Linked DNA regions of Drosophila melanogaster. The protein of the gene in region 1 interacts with the protein of each later gene in a biochemical or structural test. Each region holds a gene or a part of one and is shown on either strand. Other genes may lie near its edges.

What was found.
Region 2: of the proteins of rasp (region 1) and hh, one has a biochemical effect on the other in vitro, tested with the Drosophila melanogaster proteins (one study listed by BioGRID).

What each region holds. Positions count from the first base shown.
Region 1 is NT_037436.4:3,160,161-3,164,352, forward strand, and holds rasp (rasp), read left to right. Parts: upstream 1-2,019; 5' UTR 2,020-2,038; coding exon 2,039-3,541; 3' UTR 3,542-3,692; downstream 3,693-4,192. Other genes in the region: CG15812 (uncharacterized protein), read left to right, coding at 11-1,564; ASCIZ zinc finger protein, read right to left, coding at 3,749-4,192. UniProt on the Drosophila melanogaster protein: Required in hedgehog (hh) expressing cells for production of appropriate signaling activity in embryos and in the imaginal precursors of adult tissues.
Region 2 is NT_033777.3:23,138,602-23,143,574, reverse strand, and holds the start of hh (hedgehog), read left to right. Parts: upstream 1-1,668; 5' UTR 1,669-2,053; coding exon 2,054-2,533; intron 2,534-4,973.

The DNA.
Region 1 (4,192 bases):
CCGTTTGCAGAATCATCTTAAGTGGATGGGCCACTCATCCACGATAATGGACATCCAGCGCTCGCTGCGTAATGATAATCAGCACTGCGAGGTGGTGCTGGCCTCCAGGGACGGCGTTCGAGTGCGCGCCCATCTATTCGTGCTAAGCACTTGCAGCGAACTGATGCGCAACCTCCTGGTGGACGTTCCGCGCGGCCAGGAGGCAACCATAATGCTGCCCGACATCCGCGGAGATTTGCTGGAGTGCATGCTGTCCTTCATTTACATGGGCGAGACTAGCCTGCCCTCCGCGTCGCTCCCCGAGTTCCTGGAGGCCATTAACCTCCTCGGCATCAAATCTGCCATCAGCTTTGAGTGCAATCCATCGGCTAGTCCACCCAGTGTCGATGTAGAGAACCATTCGTTAGCCGTGGAGTCGGCCAAGTCCATTACAGGACTCCAAATCGCTGAGGCCGAGCTGCTGGACGACGAGGAAGAGCCACATCCGATGGTCTCCGTCCCAGCCACTACACTCGCGGGTTCTCAACACCAGCCCAGCCATTCCAGTCGGTCATTGGAGTACATTGATGTCTACGAGCCGCCGAAGATCACCTACTCCATCGAGCACATGGACGGAAGTTCCAGCGGCAACCAATTTATACTCACCGAGAACACGGGCACTTTCACCATAACGCAGTCAGCATCGAGTTTGTCCAAAATTGAGGCAGATGAAACGGGTACCAGTGGCGCTGAAGTGGACCTGGGCGATGATGACGTGGATGCGGACCTTGCTGAGGATTCTGAGGAGCACGAATCACAAATGATCGACGAGGAGTTCGCGCAAGCCGATCCTCTTATGGAACTAGAAGCTGGTACTGAAATGGACGACGATGACGACGTGCACGACCAACTTGTGGACGAGGAAATAGACGATAAGCCCCGCAAGTTGGGCGGGGGAAAGACGCGAATCCGTCGCCCCATAAGTGCGAAGGCTGTCAAACGATTGTCCGATTGCAAGCCAACGCGAATCCAGCAGTTCGCAGCTCTGAAACGTGAGGTAAAAGACGATATCAACGATGCTTTGGATCTGGCGGCCGACGCGGTTATCATCGAGGGCTTAAGCCTACAAAAGGCCGCCGACCGGTTTGATATCTCCAAGACAGTCCTCTGGAGACGCGTGCGCACTAATCCCGCCTACATGCGAAACAATCGGGAACGACCATCCCTGCAAGAGGCCTACGAGCGACTGAAGAATGGACATTCTTTAAAGAGCATCAGCAGTGAGTTGCAAATCCCCATGTCCACGTTGCACAGACACAAGGTTCGTCTGTCCGCCCAGGGACGCCTGCCCAACTTCGTGTCCTGCCGAAAGCGCGACAATACGCCCAAGGATGAGCTGCGCGACAAATTAGCCAAGGCGGTGCATGCCTGCCTGAATGAGGGAATGTCCCAAAACCACGCGGCCAACCTCTTCGAGATCCCCAAGAGCACGCTCTGGAGACACCTGCAGCGACGCACGACGAGCCAGAATAAAAAGGTCAAGAAGGAATTGAAGGCCAATTACGGAGACGATATGCTAAACTAGAAATAAGCCTTCGGAGTTCTGGTTTTACAAACGTTCAGCTGGAATCAATAAGTTACCATTAAGAAGCCATAAGCATAGGGTTTAACTTCATGTTGTCCCATCAGTGTATGTACATCAACCATATCCTATCTCCTGATGAAACCAAAATTGAGTCCGGAAGAGCAGCAAGAGATGCTATTCTAGAGGTAGTTTTGTAGACTTAGTTCTATATGTAGATACCATTACCATTTTAACTGCTGCTCTTTTATTGTTCACTCCATCGTAATTGGTTAATTAAATACAACCAAAAATTAACAAAAACTTCTTTTTAAATGGGTCAAATTTATAACATGAGAGAAATATGTACATGCATGTAATTAAAATGCCGGTACTCTTCTCCAGCAAGGGTATAAAAATATCGATATTTTCGCTGGTTTTTCACATCCCTATCGCAATCTTTTCCCGGAATGAAGAGTCCAAATCGGTGGTGTAGTGATGTCAAGGTTACCAGACCGATCCCTGCTCACCCGCTGCGAAATTTTCGTCTACTTCGGGGTCTATATAGCGTATATAGTTGTGGGCCTGTACAAGATCTATGGGCTGCGGGATCACATAGTCAAGGAGGCAAAGTTCCAGTTTCCGGAGGGCTGGAGTTTGTATCCTTTTTCCCAGCGGCGTCGGGATGACAGCAACGATGAGCTGGAGAACTTTGGAGACTTTATCGTCAGCTTTTGGCCCTTTTACTTGCTGCACGTGGCTGTCCAAGGATTCATACGCTGGAAACGTCCCCGCCTTCAGTGTCTGGGATTCATCGGCGTCTGTGCCTTGGCTCTTAGTGTAAACCTGGACTGGTCATCGATGGTACTACTAGTCACATTGATAGCCAGCTACTACATCGTTTCCCTGCTCTCACTAAAATTTCTCGTGTGGCTTTTGTCCGCTGGCTGGATACTGTGCATCAATGTGATGCAAAAGAATGTCTGGTGGACAGATCGCGTTGGTTACACGGAATACGTCCTGGTGATTGTCACAATGTCCTGGAGTGTGCTTCGCGGATGCAGTTATTCCCTGTCCAAGATTGGAGCTAAGCAGGAGGATCTTACGAGATACAGCCTCGTCCAGTATCTGGGCTACGCCATGTACTTTCCCTGTCTGACCTATGGGCCGATCATTAGCTACCAGAGGTTCGCAGCCCGGAGGGAGGATGAAGTGCAAAACTGGCTGGGATTCGTCGGAGGAGTCCTGCGCAGCGCCATATGGTGGTTGGTGATGCAGTGCGCCCTCCACTATTTCTATATACACTACATGTCGCGGGATGTGCGAATGGTGGAGATGATGGACTCGGTGTTTTGGCAGCACTCCGCCGGCTATTTCATGGGCCAGTTCTTTTTCCTGTACTACGTGGTGACATACGGCTTGGGAATAGCTTTTGCTGTGCAGGATGGCATCCCAGCGCCCAATAGACCGCGCTGCATCGGACGCATCCACTTCTACTCGGACATGTGGAAGTACTTCGATGAGGGTCTGTACGAATTCCTTTTCCAGAACATTTACGCAGAGCTGTGCGGCAAGCGATCATCGGCAGCGGCCAAGTTCGGTGCCACCGCATTGACCTTCGCCTTTGTGTTCGTCTGGCATGGATGCTACACCTATGTGCTTATCTGGAGCATTCTGAACTTCCTCTGCCTGGCTGCAGAGAAGGTGTTTAAGACGTTTACCGCGATGCCGGAGTACCAGCGGTGGACACAGCGTCATCTGGGAGCCGTGGGTGCTCAGCGCTTGTACGCAATGCTGGCCACCCAGCTCTTCATTCCGGCCGCCTTCTCCAATGTCTACTTTATCGGCGGACAGGAGATTGGAGACTTTCTAATGCGTGGCGCCTATCTTAGTGGAGTGGGCAACTATGTGGCACTCTGCTTCTGCAGCTATTGTTTTTTTCAATGCTCTGAGTTGCTCCTGACCAAGTCGGATGGTCGCTCCAAGACCAAAACTTTTTGACCTCGCCAAAAGTCTGTCTAGATTTACGTGAATCTGACTACTTATGAACGAACTTGTATTATAAGACGGCTTTAGAATTGTTTTGTGTTTTCACAGAATAATAATTTACTTAATTTTCACTTTAACAAATAATAAATATATAATTGTATATAATACAATGAGTTTTTTATCTGTTCATTCTACCTTCCGCCTTCTCCTAGTATCCTTTCAGTCCAGCCACCTGGTTTGCGTGCAAGTGGACTGAAAGTTGTCGGGGAAGAGTTCGTCCATTATTTCATCGCATGTCTGCGTGTGCTGCGTGTTGTACAGACCATCTGGCCAGTGAGTTTGGGTTTGGATGTGGGACAGCCCCAGTTCCTCAAACAAATCGTCGCAAGTTTGGGTGTACATGTGGGCAGAGGTTTGCAAGTCAAACATAGGTTCAGTTTCTGAATACGCGTGGAAATGGCTTCCGACCGCAACAGGCTCCTGTTCCTCTGGGAAATCATCGGTCATCGTTCCTATGTCGCCTCTGGTGTCGGGCGTTTGGGTTTCTATATCGCGTAACAAGGGCGCCAGCACTTCGTTCCTGATTTCATTCAGATCGTCCTCCTCCGTTTGTGTTTCCATATCTAGTTTCTGGGATGACATCTCTAGCGCATAGGACACATC
Region 2 (4,973 bases), on another chromosome or scaffold:
GGCAGAAATTTATGTGGCAGCCACATAGACTCTCGCACACACACTCGAATGCCCGATGGCCCAGCATCCAAGACTCGTATATTCCATACCCCCTTCCATTTCAGCTTCTTCATCTTTAATTTGGTTCCGTGTATCTTGTTGATGGCGTTTTGCCTTCTCTTATATCTTTTGCCGCCACGACCAGCTATTGTATTTCTCCTCTTTCGATTCGTTTTATTTTTTTTCTTCGATTCATTTCGTTTTTTGTCGAAATTATTATGCTATGCCTTGCATTCCAGAGCGTTACCAAAAAAAAAAAAAATGCTATGCCCCCCCATGGAATCCGTTACATGAGCAGGTGCACCTTGGCCCTTGGTTCTACCCCGTTGGAAAGTGACAATTTCTTGGGCACACATTGACGGGCGTATTCCACAATTCGCGCTTGCCAAGTGACAGTGCAAATAGACCTGGTGCAACCGCAAAAAAATAAATAAGGTCTGGAAAAAGAGCCAAAACAAAAGATTAGCGCTTGCCACAGATCCAAGTTCTGAAAGTGCGAAAAAGCTAAAAAGTTAAATTGGAGATTTCCCAGTTGTGGGGAATTTTATATTAGCCAAAGTCAACAGAGATAAAACTGGAAATTTATTGATTTCCAGAGTGCGGCATCAATCCGCAACTTAGTTATTTGCTGTGCATAAATATAAGGTACCTAATTGCAAATTGTATTTGCCAAAATCGTTATCGGTTTTTGCAATATATATAGACATATTTGCGATTATTGACATGGCGTTGAACGGAACCTCTGGCGGAGAAGGAAATTGTTAAATTGACCAGTAATTTGTAGGTCCTAAGGCGATATCTAATCGGAACATGACCACTACCTGAGGGGCATATGAATGACTCACTGGGTGACATAAGCTCGGAGCCTTCGATGATCATAAAGTACTTTAGTTTTAAGCACTTTTTCCGTTCCTTGAAGACTGGCAAACGGAAGCAGCATTGAACCCATATGTACTCCACATATCATACCATATACAATATACATATATATGTATGTATATATATAAGGCTGCCCAGGAGTCACACAATACACAAAAAACCGGAACATTATTAATTTACAAGCAATAAAGCGAAACGAACAACAAAACGAAGAAAGGCAACGGAAAAAAGTGAACAATGGCCTGCGATGGAGGAGTTGCAGGGCCAGAAGCGGCTAACAAGCCACAAGACTCGAGTCGAGTCGAGTCCGAGTAGTGCAAGTGTTAAGAGAAATTGCAGTTGCAGTCGAGGATGCTGCAGCTCTTCTGCGCCAGCAACGCACACTATCACACATCCAATTGGCAACAGGCACACACTTTCATCCATGGCCATAATGGACCGCAGCACACTATGCCAATGCCATCCAACATCTGTTGCCAACATTGCTTGTACATAAGAGCCGAAGACTCAGGCACTAACACATGCAAACCAGTCTTGTGAGTATGCTGCATCATCTGGTTGTCCCGCTTCCACTTCCCTTGCGCATAAGGCAGCATAAAAATGAACACCACAGCCGATCGAACGTCGAGTGGCATACGCATACAATCACAACGCGGAATGAACTCGAGGCGATAGTGTGTGTGTGCGTGTGTGTTTGTGTGAGCTAAAAGGCCTAGGGTTCTTGAAAGCACCCTCGTCGTACTCGTACTTATACTCGCATTCGTATTCGCTGCCGTACTCGTACTCGCACTCGAACACTCTGCGCGCACGATACTCCGCTCGGAAATGTCATTTGTCAATCACAGTGCGAGCGCAACGGTTGTCCGAACCGAGAGCTAACTGCCAGTTCAGCGGAGAACAGTTAAGACCGTAGTTAAGTCAGTTAGGACCTGCGATTTCGCCGACTCAAGTATTTCGATTTAGCCAGTTTAAATCCAAATAATACCATAAATCTGAATAACAAACGTGTCGCCAAATAAGCGTGTCTGTGTGCCAAAAGTGAAGTGCTAAATAACCAAAAAAATAAATAAAAAAAATTAAAGGAGATACAAAATCCAATCAAGAGAAACAGCAAACAACGAGTCTTAGATAAATCATGGATAACCACAGCTCAGTGCCTTGGGCCAGTGCCGCCAGTGTCACCTGTCTCTCCCTGGATGCCAAATGCCACAGTTCCAGTTCCAGTTCCAGCTCCAAATCCGCAGCGAGCTCCATCTCCGCAATCCCGCAAGAAGAAACGCAAACGATGCGCCACATTGCGCATACGCAGCGTTGCCTCAGCAGGCTGACCTCTCTGGTGGCCCTGCTGCTGATCGTCTTGCCGATGGTCTTTAGCCCGGCTCACAGCTGCGGTCCTGGCCGAGGATTGGGTCGTCATAGGGCGCGCAACCTGTATCCGCTGGTCCTCAAGCAGACAATTCCCAATCTATCCGAGTACACGAACAGCGCCTCCGGACCTCTGGAGGGTGTGATCCGTCGGGACTCGCCCAAATTCAAGGACCTCGTGCCCAACTACAACAGGGACATCCTTTTCCGCGACGAGGAAGGCACCGGAGCGGATCGCTTGATGAGCAAGGTAAGGAAAACCCTCAAACACCGTAAGCTAGTAACAAAATTTGTAATACATCATTGGGAAAGTTTCGCTTATCGGAATCATTGTGACAAAGTGACTTAAAAATTATTTGTAAAAACCGAAATATTGACTTATTAATCACGATTAATCAGAAATTACTTAACATTTAGTATTGTTAGCAACACAAATGAAGTGAAAACCCAGTCTTACGCCAAATAAATGACTAATTCTAGGAAAAAATGTGAGATAACTCTACCAAACGGAACTTGTAATGCTTTAATAGTACACTTAATATTTGGTCTAGGTATTATTTTGTGATAAAAGTAAGCCTACTTTGATATAGGAACACAATGAAATGCCTGTTAAATCTGAGGTATGGAGGTCAAACACACCATTTAGATGAGATTTTATTGCTGATATTGTTCCGAATTCGTCTTCTATATCAGACAGCTGGGTTCCGATTTGCGGCTAGGCTAATTCCGTGCTTATTGCGCACTGCACTCACATTTTGCCACCCGTCGTGGTCCGTAAATTCAATTGTCAAATTAGCGATCGCTTATCGCTCGCGCTGTTTTATAGCCCGTATCTAGCGATCGCCCGATGGCACGAGATTGTGCCACTCGGTTCCCATTGATAAACGCTACGTGGCGGAAAAGTGCCCAATCATTGATCGAGCATTGGCTATTTCACCAACTTTATGGTGGCGATGGCTGCCATAAAACTGGGCTGAAATATAGTATTAGTTTTGAGCATTGGCCATTTATATGATTAATTATGCATCTTATCGCCGCACTGCACTTGTTTCGCAAGTGCAAAAAAACAGGAAGCCCGATACTCGACGGCTGAACGGTAGATAGCGCCTGAATTCCATCGAACTAAGCCATAAAGCTGCAAAGCGTCCCGAAATCCAAACAAACCGAGCGAACGCGTTCAACAACCTCGAGCCCAATCGATCCCCGGGTCATCATTGCAAATACATAGTTTACTCAACATTGTGTGTACGCTTCGCAAATGCGTTTTCGATTTCGCGCTGAACAACAAACAGGGTATCGAATGCGGGAGATTACAAGTCCCGGTATTTATCAGGTTTTACTCAGCCAAAACCACCGCCCACCGCCCACCGCCCACCCTGTCCGCGCCCCAAAAGTGGAGGCACGCGAGCATTTGCCGCTTATCACCGGCGATTGTCTGATAAGCGGACTGCAGCCAAGTAGTTCGTTTGCCAATACACGGTTACTATCCCCCCAGATAGTCACCCTATATTTGCCAACATGTGTAGCTACATGCTGGCACTGAAAGAAATTGGGTTCGCTTGGCATAATACTATATGCTTGCCACTTTATGGTTTATGCTAAAAGAGGTATATGATGGTTTTTATGTGTGAAATAAAATGTGAAAATTAGTTTAGGTGCAAGTTATACGTTATACGTTATACGTTGCTAGTTGCGCTATATCGGTGCCAGAACAAAATGTGTGCTAAGATACCAGCTAAGGCGAAGAACAGCAGTATCTTATCGCCATAAAAAAAAAGGGGCGGGGGTAGTGAAAGTGGAGTGGGTGGCGGTGGGATGACCACCCAGTTGGTGGGGGAGCGGTGGTTGAGTTTCAAAGTGCGAAACAGCTAAAACAAGTGTTCAATTCAAGCACCATGCGACAACATTTCCAATTAGCCAGCAGTTAGTGGGGTGGTTGCGTTGCGGCCAGAAGTCGGCTTAGCACAGTCAAGACCCCCTAAGAGGGCCGACATTGAAGTTGCTGATATATATAATCGGCACGCTTCCCACCAGCTTATCTTCGTGTTACTTTAATGAAATTTTAAGTGTCGATGTGTAAAAATAGCCTTGTTATTGATTAGCGCCATAAACGAGCTATTGGGCTTTTATGGCGGACTTCCAGTTTCCTTGGACGATTTGGTGCTATTGAACAACAAACTAATAATCAGAATTGTGGGAAGACAGATTACGCCTGCCAACCGACTAATATAGTTGATTTAAAGGGTTTAGTATCGCCCACACAAGTGTTACAATGACTTTCGATTTGTTGATTTATTAGTCAGTGGTTAGTGTTTCGCAAAAACGACTTAGATCTTTAAAAATCAGATTTTACTGTACTGTAAAGTTAAATCGTATTATCGAACCAGTTGTTCGCCTGCTAGAGTTTCACTTGAAAACCAATTCCAAATTGCATTTGGCAACTGCCACGCGCCCATCGGGGGATTCTAAATGGTTGCAGCCATTTCAGATGTTACCTTGAATTTGATATGCAATCAAAAGGTATCGCAGCCTTTCCAGAAACTGGCGAACAATTAACAGTTGCTCGCACGGCAGCACAAACGCAGTGACACACCGAAGGCCAAGGTCCTTCGGGCGATTGACTAAACGGCCAAGGACACTCGGCGAGCATAAAAATCCTGTTGTTCACGGGACAAATATTTACAACGGCA